Danio rerio: one gene and its partner. The protein of the gene in region 1 purifies or fractionates together with the protein of each later gene. This does not show direct contact. Links are inferred from orthologs where the notes say so. Each region holds a gene or a part of one and is shown in the gene's direction. Other genes may lie near its edges.

Region 1 (5,997 bases):
TCTACACAATGTTTGTTTTGAGTCGAGAAAAAATCTCTGGGTCTGTTCAGGAATGAGGAAATAGTTTCTAAATTGCATGTGATGGATTGCTGCTGCGCTTCATTGTTGTCTGTGCAGCGCAAGCAAGAACGAGGGGAATTAAATGAGAAAAACTGCATGAAAACGCACCACTGTTACAAAATAAAAGAGCATTATTAAGGAGGCACAAAATCATGACTGACAGACACTGAAAATGTGTTAAATCCACAACAGCTTCAGAAAGACGAGCAGGAAATTCAGACAGAGGTGTGAAGCATTACACTTATACTTAGTTTCCAAGTGTCTAAAAAATGACAATAGTAATAAACCTTTCCTGTTGCACACAATCTACTACAGGCCACTGTGTCGCATGATTGATAGTTTATGCTTTTTTTTTTGTTAAATATATTTTATTTAAATTGCACAAATATTTCAGCTTGTGGTTTAGATCACTTATCAGAAGTAAAACCTTATATAATATTAAAATATATCTCTATAAAATAAAAATAAAAATTGTATGTAAGAATATCAATATTATAATATGAAAATAAAGACTAAATTTTGTTTTTCTTGACCATTGAAATGTCCATAAATGCTGAAATATGAGTATCAAATATGAATTTTGAGAAACAATAATTCTCAGAAATAATGTTTTTATTTTCCCAAATGAAGTAGAGATCAAAAACTCGCTAAAACAAAAACATTCGAGAAATCATTAACATGATCAGTGTCTTTACATAGATGAATATCTTTAAATATTAATAAAAATAAATAATTAAAAGTAAATTGAGCAAATTTGATATTTGCTATTTTATATATTTTTGAGAATTGTTCCTTCATCATTACAATGCATTGCTTTTAAAAAATAAAAAAAGTATTGCATTTAGACATATTACTCTGCGATAGAGTGACAGTAATATTTATATGCATTTTATGCAAGTACTCTGACAGACCTCTGAATGTTTTGGGTATAATAATGTTTATATCAGCACCAAATTGCATATTTTTGCTCAGTTTATACATCTGATTACCGTAAACTTATTATCTTCCCAAGTGTGAGATTAATATTCTTACTATATTAGTCGTAATGAATGTCTTTCTTGTGTATGAAAAATTAAACAAATAAATAAATCAGTCACTTATGTATTTAATTATTTTATGCATTGTCTAAGATTCACTAAAGTGTTAAATTATAATATATATATATATATATATATATATATATATATATACATATATATATATATATATATATACATATACATACACACACACACACACAAACACATATATACATACACACACACACATATATATGCATGTATGTATGTATGTGTGTGTGTGTGTGTGTGTGTGTGTGTGTGTGTGTGTGTGTGTGTGTGTGTGTGTGTGTATTTACATTATCAGCAATCATCACCTCATAAATATCAATGTAGTCCAGTTTATAAACAGTACAAGCAGTCATAAAACCCAAATACACTAGAACAATAATAGTTAGCTATATAGAGGTAAAGTCTGTTTTATATTCACATATTCAGACTTTCTCCTCAATAAGGTAATTTCAGAAAAGTAATGTTTACAAATTCTAAATAGGGAAATCATTGTCGATGTTGTTTTGAAGTCATCCTTGCCTGCTAATGTCTATCGAATATTCAAAGTAACGTTAACGTTAACATGGTAAACAATACAGAGACTGCTAAATAAACGAATGTGCGACTATAAAAGCAACGTTACCTCTATGTTAGCTATTATGTGGTAACAATAATAGGGTTATTTCAGATTGATATATTGACCTTAAATCAGTACACGAATCGATCACTAATTGATCAGCATTTCATTCTTAGGATTATTATTTCAGATTGATATGTCGGCAGCTGATTCACTCTACAAACACGAATTATTTGTCACATGTGTGCGTTTAAAAGGGATTATATAATTAATTAAGCGTGATAAGTAAGATATTTTGGGATGTTTGTGTTTATTTAGCGTAACGGTGAACTTTAGATCAGTTGCAACATCATATCAATCACTAATTGATTAGAAATACATAGTTGACATGATTGATTTCGATTCATATGTCGCTAAATGAGCTGAGTCACACTTTAAACAACTGTTATTTGCCACATATGTGCGTTATATAGGGATTATATATTTTATCAAGCGTAATAAAGAAGGTATTAGGGGTTTAACGTTACTCACTCTCATCCTGAGCGCGCAGTGAACCGACCCACGACAAGACGAGCAGAACCAAACATTCTCTCTTCAGTGGCATTTTCCCGGATCAGTCCAGTCCATAAACACGCTTTAGCAGAAGCATTTACATTCGGCAGTCATGTTGAAGCTTCACATCCAGCCTCCGGAAGTGTCAAGCACTCCTGCTTTGCGCGAAAATGCAACAACTTTTCAGTAGACGAGCGCTTTCGCTGTACGCTGCGCTGTATCACGTGATGTAGCATTGAACGCGCTCGGCGGAAACGGAAACTGTGAAGAGGAGCCAACATGGCCGACAGGCTAACGCAGCTTCAGGATGCTGTGAACTCCGTAAGACTCATTTAACGTTTATTTTATACTTCAGAAACTGCAGAACACAGCAAATGTCTTCCGAACAGATTTACTTAATAGTCTGGTTCATTAAATTGGATTATTTGCTTAAGAAGTCATGTTGATGTACTGTAGCGTCTGAAGTGTTAGCATAGCGTGCAATTTGTGAACAAATGAACAGGTGAAGTTTGTTGTCATATGTGTTTTGATACTGTAATAAATGTTTTACTTGTTATAAATAAAACGAAACTGAAAATAATAGTCCTATTATAATCTAAGTAAGTGTATATAAAAGGCACCGTTATATAATTATAATATAACATATAATATATACATACATTTCTGTAAGTGCTATTGTTACTTATATATTGGTGAAGTACACTTAAATATTTCTTTTTTTGTGTTCTTCAAAGTGCAATATTAATTATTTTTAAATTGTTTTAAATTAATGTTGTTTAATCAAACATTACATGTAATTGTGTTTATTCATATATTACATAATTCACAATCTTAGCACTGAGTACTAATACTTCTCATCATGTCAAAGAACATGTAAACTGAAAGTAACAGTGGATTGTCCTGCATGTCTGATTTACTGCATGTCGTGTTTCAGCTGGCGGATCAGTTCTGTAATGCGATTGGAGTTCTGCAGCAGTGCGCACCACCGGCCTCCTTCAGCAACATCCAGACGGCCATCAATAAAGACCAGCCCTCAAACCCCACAGAAGGTGCTCTCATCTGCACTGATCTGAATGTGATCCACTTTGAAAATAATGTGTTTTGAAGTTGACATACTAAGATGTGTTTTTTCTAGAATATGCTCAGCTGTTTGCAGCGCTGATAGCAAGAACAGCAAAAGATGTTGATGTGCTGATCGACTCTCTGCCCAGTGAAGAATCCACTGCAGCCTTGCAGGTACATTTATTATATACACACACACACTGTATCACTGGCCAACACCACATTATTATTATTGAATCATTATATAATTATTGAGCCTTCTGCTGTTTAAAATATGGTTGTTCTGCACTTCAGGTTTTGAGTTCTGGCACTCAAAGAGAAGAAAATCAACTGTAAATTATATTGTTGCATTAAAAATGAATCTCAGCTTAACCTGTGCATCTCATATCCATTTCTGGAGAGCCACTGCTTTGCACATTTTGAGTTATGCCTACATAATGGACCTGATTATAAATATCATCTTGCTAGAAGAAAGCTCCAGAAGCTGCACTGAATGTACAGAGCAGTAGGAGCCCAGAAATGGATTTGAGAAACACTGAAATATACCATGACAATAATACACAAATGACCAATTAGCTAGATATTAATCATATTACAAACTTGATTACTGTTAATTGCTCATCCCATGCCACATATATTGCACATCTGGCTCTGTGCTACCCATGTTGTCCAAGTACAGAGTGAACAACAATACATTAGCATTATACCTCGTCTCTACTTGTTGTCATTTCTGATGCGTTTCTTAGGCCGCCAGTCTGCGACAGCTGGAAGAGGAGAACCAGGAAGCTGCAGCGCGTCTGGAGGAAGTGGTTTACAGAGGAGACGCCCTGCTGGAGAAGATCCAGACGGCACTAGCAGACATCGCCCAATCACAGCTCCGCACCCGCAGCGGAGCCCCGAGTCAGCAAACACCTCCAGAATCCTGACAGAAAAAAACCACAACATGAACTATAGTGTCGGGACACAGCAGGGATTTTATACGCATCCTACATCGACTGCAGGAGACTCACTGTTTCACATCGGTTTCTGGACTAAAGAAAGCTGATTTCCCATCGCATGTCTTTATTGTGCGACCTCTGTTTTTTACCTTGTGTAATGTTCATCAGCGTGTTACTACCATTAATAGTCAGCTTCTGGGTATGTTTTGTAAATTAAATGTTGTTTTTTTCCCTCACCAGCATTATGCTGATACTCTTGTTTTGAAAGAAGTTATGTTTAACAAATAAAAATATATTGTATGACATGCTTGTTTTTATTTTTAACTTTGACCTGTTCAGGGTTTAACGCTATGGATTTTTTCTACTGGTCCGATCGGGCCAGTGGTTCAGATTTTTACTTGCCCTGCCAAATTTTTTACTGACCCCACCAAAAATAAAAAAAGAAGAGAAAAAAAAGCTAAGATGATAGCTATTTTTAGCCACATATTTTAAATAATGTGTCAAAAACAATGTCTGTGAATCTCGAATTTCAATACTTAAAGATGCTTTAATAAATAATGAGCAAAATTCAAAGTGTTATGCAAACAAAAAGAGCAGTATGGAAAATGTGCAGGTTTTTTGCAGTTCAAAATCTATTAATAAAAGGTGGTTGACTTGTTAAACTGACGGCAAATTGTGTTAAACATCACTTCATTTTGTTGTTGTGTTGTTCCTACGTAAATATCTGCTTCCAATACATTAGAAACAGACATTCTCTTTAAGCCTTCTAACTTGCTGTTGCTGTCATGTTGCTGTTTCTTTGCTGTACTGGTTGTTGCTAGCGGTCCGTTATTCGCACATGGATGACTCCAGTTTAGCTGGGTTTGGTTATTGACGATTTGATATGATCAAGGATCGTTTAATTCTTCAAAACTGATCTGAAAATTGTTGTCATAGCAACAGTTCCGATAGCTCAAACCTGCTAGGGAGCAGGCTCATTTTATATAAACAACATACTGAAAGTATGAACCGAACTCTGATATCTTCTTACAGTAGTAGTTATATACACTTGGGAAAATAGTAAATATTTTTAAGCTATATATATATATGTATATGTGTGTGTGTATATGTATATATGTATGTATGTATGTGTGTGTGTATATATATATATATATATATATATATATATATAGATAGATATATATATAGATGTATGTATGTATATATATATATATGTGTGTGTGTGTGTATATATATATATATATATGTGTGTGTGTGTATATATATGTATATATATGTATGTATGTATGTGTGTGTGTATATATATATATATGTATATATGTATGTATGTATATATATATATATATATATGTATATATGTATGTATGTATGTATATATATATATATATATATATATATATATATATATGTTATTATATATATTATTTTCTTTAATATATAACATCTAGATAAACAATAGAAATATAAAATAAATAGTAATAAAATATAAACTATTTTAACATCATACAATACTGCAAAAAACTCTAAATGTAAACACTGTGCTGTTCAAACGTGCAGCTTTCTCGGCATATTGTTATTTACGTTTCTGCTAAATTACATTAAATATAAAATTAAAAATTGTTAAATACCCATTATAGCCACAGTTGAACAGTTCTCCACAAGGAGGAGTAAACACTTGAGAATAAAAAATGCAAAAATACCTCAGTTGGTCTGCAGCCACGCTGAAAAACGCATGACGTAGCTGTCTTTTAGTCCAATC
Region 2 (6,024 bases), on another chromosome or scaffold:
GATAGATAGATAGATAGATAGATAGATATTTTTGCTCAATATTTGGATGTTTAACCCTTTCATTTCAGATTTTACCTCGCCAAATGTTGTCGTATCCCAACACCACCCCCACATCAAAATGGAAGCTTATTTATTGTGCTTTTAGGTGATCTCAAAATATTCACACACATGACGCAATATAATAAATCACAATCATAAAAACAGGAGGGCTGCTGCGCGCGCGCATGAACTCATCGTTTTCTGCTGCAGCTGTCAGGCTCTGCGCACATACATATGGACCAATGAGCGGCCGGGACACTCGACCAATCACCGTGCGCGGGGCGGAGCTTACGGCATGTGACGCATACACGTGATTTTCACATGGAAGCTGCGGCGCAGGATCAACCGCCATGATACTCCCCAAAAATAGAGCCTGCACTCATTCATACTCGCGTGTGTGCACATACAGCACTGCAGATAAAGAGCAGGCCCTTGTCCAAATGCACAGCTTTGTGCGAACACACACACAAACAGAACATGCGCAGTTACAGGGGACTAATCGAATAAGTAAAGCATTTTAGACAGCAGCACTGATGCAGGGCGAGGAGGTGTGTTTGCTATGGCGCCATATCAGCTAGCGCTAGCCACTGGCTAATCGATCAGCATTCTCTGTACAGCTCATCAATAAATGAAGCAGACAGCAGCAGGGCTGAAACTCGGAGAATCATCGCTCCAGAAACTCGCTGACAGATGCAAACGGCCTCCGGAGTCACATGTTGAACGACACACCGAAAAGACAAAGTGGACGACATCAGCGTGACGATTGTTTATCATAACGAGCTGATGATTTACAACGCGCGTGCACTGCAGTGATTAACAGCACGCAGTGAACGAGCTAATACTGCCAATATGGGCAGCTCGCTGGGGCTGGAGTTGAGCTGCAGTCCTGACAGCTGAAATGAATGAGTCTAAAGGGGGATGGTGTCAAAAACGGCCAGAAGTGCTGATCACGCCACGGGTGTCAGAGCCTGCGCCACATGTCACTCCGCCAGACCTCCTGACATTATCACAGCGTTTCACACACGATTTAAGCCCCAAACGGAGCGTCTGGCTCGGTGAAATCCAGCCCCGCTCCGCCCGAGGCACCCGCGGCTCGGACGGACTCACTCACCTAGGGATTGTGCGCAGATCCCCGGTTCCTTTGGCTTCGTCCTGCCGGGAGAACCACACCTCCAGGAGCTTCTCGGTCCCCTCGAAGAAGTGTGCACTGCTCTCTTCCATCGTGAGACAAACAGACTCCAACAACAGAAAATAAACCGTCGGATGGAATCACAAATTATGTAGTCCTTCGTTGGCGGTTATAACTTAATAGCTTAGTTACAGTCCTTGAGCAGTCCAGATGTAGTTGCCTTATTTTTTTGTTTGTATTTACCGTCTTCCCTTTTACAGAGAATACCGTAGGCGAGTGCTAGCTAATATCGCCGGCCATACTGTGTAAGCGCAGAACGGCAGTCTGCGCGGAGCTTTTATTACCTACCCGACGACGTCATTCTCGTCGTTGCCAATCGCGGCGAGGGAGCCACCCTCAGGTCTACAGCGATTGGTTGAACGGATATCAGTCAAGCGGGATGTTGCGTAAAAGTATGAGTTCACGCTGTAGTAGCGCGTGTGTGAGTGTGTGTCCTTGTATAGATGAGCAAACATTTGCGTTGCTATTGACCTTATTCTAAAATGCGGAAGTGCGCCTGTTTTCGCGATTGTCTTAGAACTTCCGATTCAGTCGCCTATGGGAGAAATGACTAGGAATAATAAACGACAGAAAATGGCCAAACTACTTGCTCAACAAACAAATGTTTGCATGACTACACAGACCAAGTAGCATAATATAATAAGAAAATATTAAATTGCAACATCAAGCAGCGTAACGTGCAGTTGTTAACGTCAAAAAATGAATGGAAGTGAATGTGACCGGAAGTCGCGAGACAAAAAGATTCAAATGGCAGCGCCCGCTCGTCAGCTGAGAATAAGGTGAATAACGCTGAGCCACTGCACAAATAATTGACTCCCATTTATCTAGCACTCTCTTTGAAAAAGAAAAAAACTGTTAGGTTATGTATTCCACACATTTTATTAATTATGTTTAGTTATTATAAGCTTTTTTTCTGCCATTGTGCAAACACTCCAAGCGCTAACGTTCAGAAATGTTAGTTTTGAATCAGAGTGGAAAGACGAAAGGAGGATTTGTTCGCTGTAGTTTTTCAGATGTCCTGCCGCCGTCAACTCGAGCTGGCGCTCCATCAAACGGCACTACGCTCCCCACAATGCAACCCGCCACAATAAAATACGTCACCGAGCACGTGACCGTTAAGCGGAGCCGACCAAAATCCCAAACAAGGAAATGGTGGGGTAATAAAAACGATCGGATCATTTAATTAATGCATGTAATAATTAATATTTTATTTTCTTGTAAATTAAGAAATATTTATGGGTTAAAATGGACTACGACTTCAAAACGAAGCTCGCCGCCGAGAGGGAGAGAGTGGAAGATCTGTTTGAATATGAAGGTTGTAAAGTGGGTCGCGGCACATACGGGCATGTTTATAAAGCGAAGCGTAAAGACGGGTAAGAGACACGCGTTTGATTGACGCGTTTCACTCACTGCACGCGCTTCTGCTGTCTCTGGGTGTGCAGGAGCTTCATATGTGTCGGGGGAATTGCGCTGTTTTCTGTAGCCTGCGTGTGTGTGTGTGTGATTGTTTTTGTTTTCATGGACGCACTTCAAACGGTCCACCCCCAAACCAGCCAGCGTGATGCATGTTTCACTCTTGTGTGCAGGAGTTCACTGCAAATCAGTTCCTCTGTCCAGAAGTTGCATGCGTTTGAAGTCCACTGTGAGTTTGTGTGCTCGGATGAGAAGATGTCATGTTTACATGTGCTGGAATTCAGAGGCTCACCTGTGCACGAGTTGACATACTCATTTACGCAGTATAACAGCTGCCCACTTCTTCATAAGTGCACAAGCTCTTGCGTGCTGGAGTTTATGGAGCATCTGTGATCGAGTTCACGTGCTTGCAGTGTGTGTGTGTGTGTGTGTGCTCTTATTTATACAGGAGTCAATGTGTGCTCAATAAAGGGGTCCTCTTATGACACTTTACACAAGATGTAAAATAAGTCTCTTATGTCTCTAGAGTGTGTGTGTGAAGTTTCAGCTCAAAATACCACACAGATAATGTTTTATATCTCTCTGAAATGGACCCTTTTAGGCTTTGATCCAAATCATGCTGTTTTGGTTACTGTCACTTTAAATTTAAAGCATAGCAGCAGATTCGAAACAGGACTAAAGTTTCTTTGTGAAAAGATGAAAATGTGGTGGCGATGCAGTAAGTAGCACAACCTACTGCGCCACCGCATCTCCAATTTTTTAAATATCTGTGTGATATTATTTTCTGTGGTGGTTCATTCCGCTGCTGCAACCCCTGATAAGTACGAGAGTACAGCCTGGTTTATACTTCTGCGTCAAGTGATCGGCGTGACCCACGGCGCATGCAACGCGCGTAGCCGTGCATTCATACTTCTGCGCGCTATTTCTGATGTTCTGCAATAACACTTCCGAAAAGCTTGTCGGCAATGAGGTGTTAATGTTCCTCTGTGTTGAGTTTATTCGCTGGCGTTTTGTTTTTTCTGAACGCTCAAACTCGCTTATTTTGAGGCAGGAACCGGCGGACATGCAACAACTTTAATCATAACCCACATAGCAAAGTTTCTCTGGCCCAGCTGTGGCCCACACAATCAGGTTTTGCTTGGCCCACATGCCGCAGTGAATTACGGTACATGACTGGACCAAATCTGGCTTCCAGACAAGGGCCAAACACGGACCATATCTGGGCCAAGTCTCAGCCAAGTTAATAACTCATAACTGGGCCTGAACTGGGCCAGATAGGTTGGTGTGTCACGATTGCAATGAAATTGATAAACCCATGGAGTGATGCGCTTTAGGCACACTATGGGCACGCTTTTTCTCAAAGTGACCTGATTGGTAGAATTTATTTTCTTTACTAAAAAATGATTTTAGTGTATTTTAAATGTGGGTCAAAACTGGCCAAACTCACATGGCCCACTTATCAAATTTTTAAATCTGGGCCAAATACTACGTTTTTCATCTGGCCCAAATCTTGTGTGCCGCCTCTGCCAAACCCGGGCCATGTTTGGCCCACATGCTGTATGCCAGTGCCGGATGAATGCCTGCTGTGCCAGCTTTATGCCAAATCTGGGCCAGAATTCTTTGCTACTAGGGAAGGTAAACACAAAGCAAAACCTTTCATCCGGAGCTCCATCACGGGACTCCACACTTGTAAACAATCGCTTCATCGGCCTCGCACAGCTCTCGGTCCCGCCCACACTTGTCAGCGATTCCAAGCTAACCAATCCCAGAGCTTGCGCTACATGTCGTTGCGATGTGTAGTTCCATTTTTTGAGAGGTGCGTGTCAGCGATGGCCACGGCGTTGGGCTATGCGTCAGCGCGTAGGCTGTGCTGTAGCATACGCGTGCGCTTGATGCAGAAGTATAAACAGCCTTAAGCTGGTTTGTGTTCACACTGTTTTTTCCTTCTGAACCCCGGTACGCTTGCGTCATCGAGCTGCTGTTTTGTTTACAGCCGTTGCTAGGTGACGGTCACGAAAGCAAGAGGCGAAATGGACAAGGCCTAATTTAATGATTTACGCTTAGCTAATAGTAACTGCCAAGCTGGGAAACCCAATGACAGAGGTGAGACACAGGTCGTATATGTTTGTTTCCATGACCCACAGGGTTTGTTGCATGTTTTCCCCCCTGATCCTGTCCGGGCCGATACAGCAACGCTGTTTGTTTGCAGCAAGCATTTTTTTCAGGAAAGCGTCAGACTTTGTCTTTTATCATTTATTCATTCATTTTCTTGTCGGCTTAGTCCCTTTATTAATCCAGGGTTGCCACAGTGGAATGAACCACCAACTTATCCAGCAAGTTTTTATGCAGCGGATGCCCTTCCAGCCGCAACCCATCTCTGGAAAACATCCACACACACACACTCATACACTACGGACAATTTAGCCTACCCAATTCACCTGTACCACATGTCTTTGGACTGTGGGGGAAACCGGAGCACCCGGAGGAAACCCACGCGAAGGCAGGGAGAACATGCAAACTCCACACAGAAACGCTAACTGAGCCGAGGTTCGAACCAGCAACCTTCTTGCTGTGAGGCGACAGCACTACCTACTGCGCCACTGCCTCGCCACTTTGTCTTTTATCAGTGGAGTTAATTACCATCAGGTTACCATTGAGACACATCACCTATTTCCATGCTGCTATGTTTGCACAATTTTCAAATTAGGGTATATGCGGAGCTAGTGTTCTTCCCATACTGATAAACTTCCAGTGAACGGTTAATGTGACTTTTTTCCATTTTATACGGTTCCTTTTACAGCATGGATGTTGTAATGCAATTAAAATACAATCAGTTAAACAGACTTTGACATTTATTTAGTTGCTCAAGTGTAAAACGAGACAAAAAGTCTTTTACTCGCACGTGCCTGTCAGGATCGGCAGGCTAGCGCAGAAGCACCACTGGGGTAAAATAAGAAAATGTTAATATTTTCAAAGAATGTCGGGGAAAATGTAATTTAGTGCAGTGCTTCTTGTACAATCTGAGACCCACTTTATTCACTTTATTCTTCGCCGACGAGTGGAAGCAGCCATTTGAATCTTTTTGGCTCGAGACTTCCGGTCTCATTCACTTCCATTAATTTTTAGACATTAAAAACAGCTTGTTTTGCTGTTTGACGTTGCAAACTGATATTTTCTTATTACATTATTCTACTTGGTATAGTCATTAGGGCTGCACACAGCACGATACATCGTTTCAGCATCGAAATTGCGATGTGCGCATCCGCAATAGTCACATCGCAGGAGGTGCGATGCAAAGCAAAAAAAAAAAATATATATTTATATATATATATATATATATATATATATATATATATATATATATATATATATATATATATATA

What was found. Proteins that work in one complex are often made in the same cells at the same time.
Region 2: the proteins of med21 (region 1) and cdk19 purify together in Homo sapiens (affinity purification with mass spectrometry; 6 studies listed by BioGRID and IntAct, counting the BioPlex papers as one, with this or other methods). This does not show direct contact. The link is inferred for Danio rerio from reciprocal best matches to the Homo sapiens genes MED21 and CDK19.

What each region holds. Positions count from the first base shown.
Region 1 is NC_133179.1:2,081,853-2,087,849, forward strand, and holds med21 (mediator of RNA polymerase II transcription subunit 21), read left to right. Parts: upstream 1-2,472; 5' UTR 2,473-2,517; coding exon 2,518-2,559; intron 2,560-3,172; coding exon 3,173-3,287; intron 3,288-3,373; coding exon 3,374-3,474; intron 3,475-4,046; coding exon 4,047-4,226; 3' UTR 4,227-4,541; downstream 4,542-5,997. UniProt on the Homo sapiens protein: Component of the Mediator complex, a coactivator involved in the regulated transcription of nearly all RNA polymerase II-dependent genes.
Region 2 is NC_133195.1:3,038,812-3,044,835, reverse strand, and holds the start of cdk19 (cyclin-dependent kinase 19), read left to right. Parts: upstream 1-2,345; 5' UTR 2,346-2,473; coding exon 2,474-2,601; intron 2,602-6,024. Other genes in the region: amd1 (S-adenosylmethionine decarboxylase proenzyme), read right to left, coding at 1,151-1,260.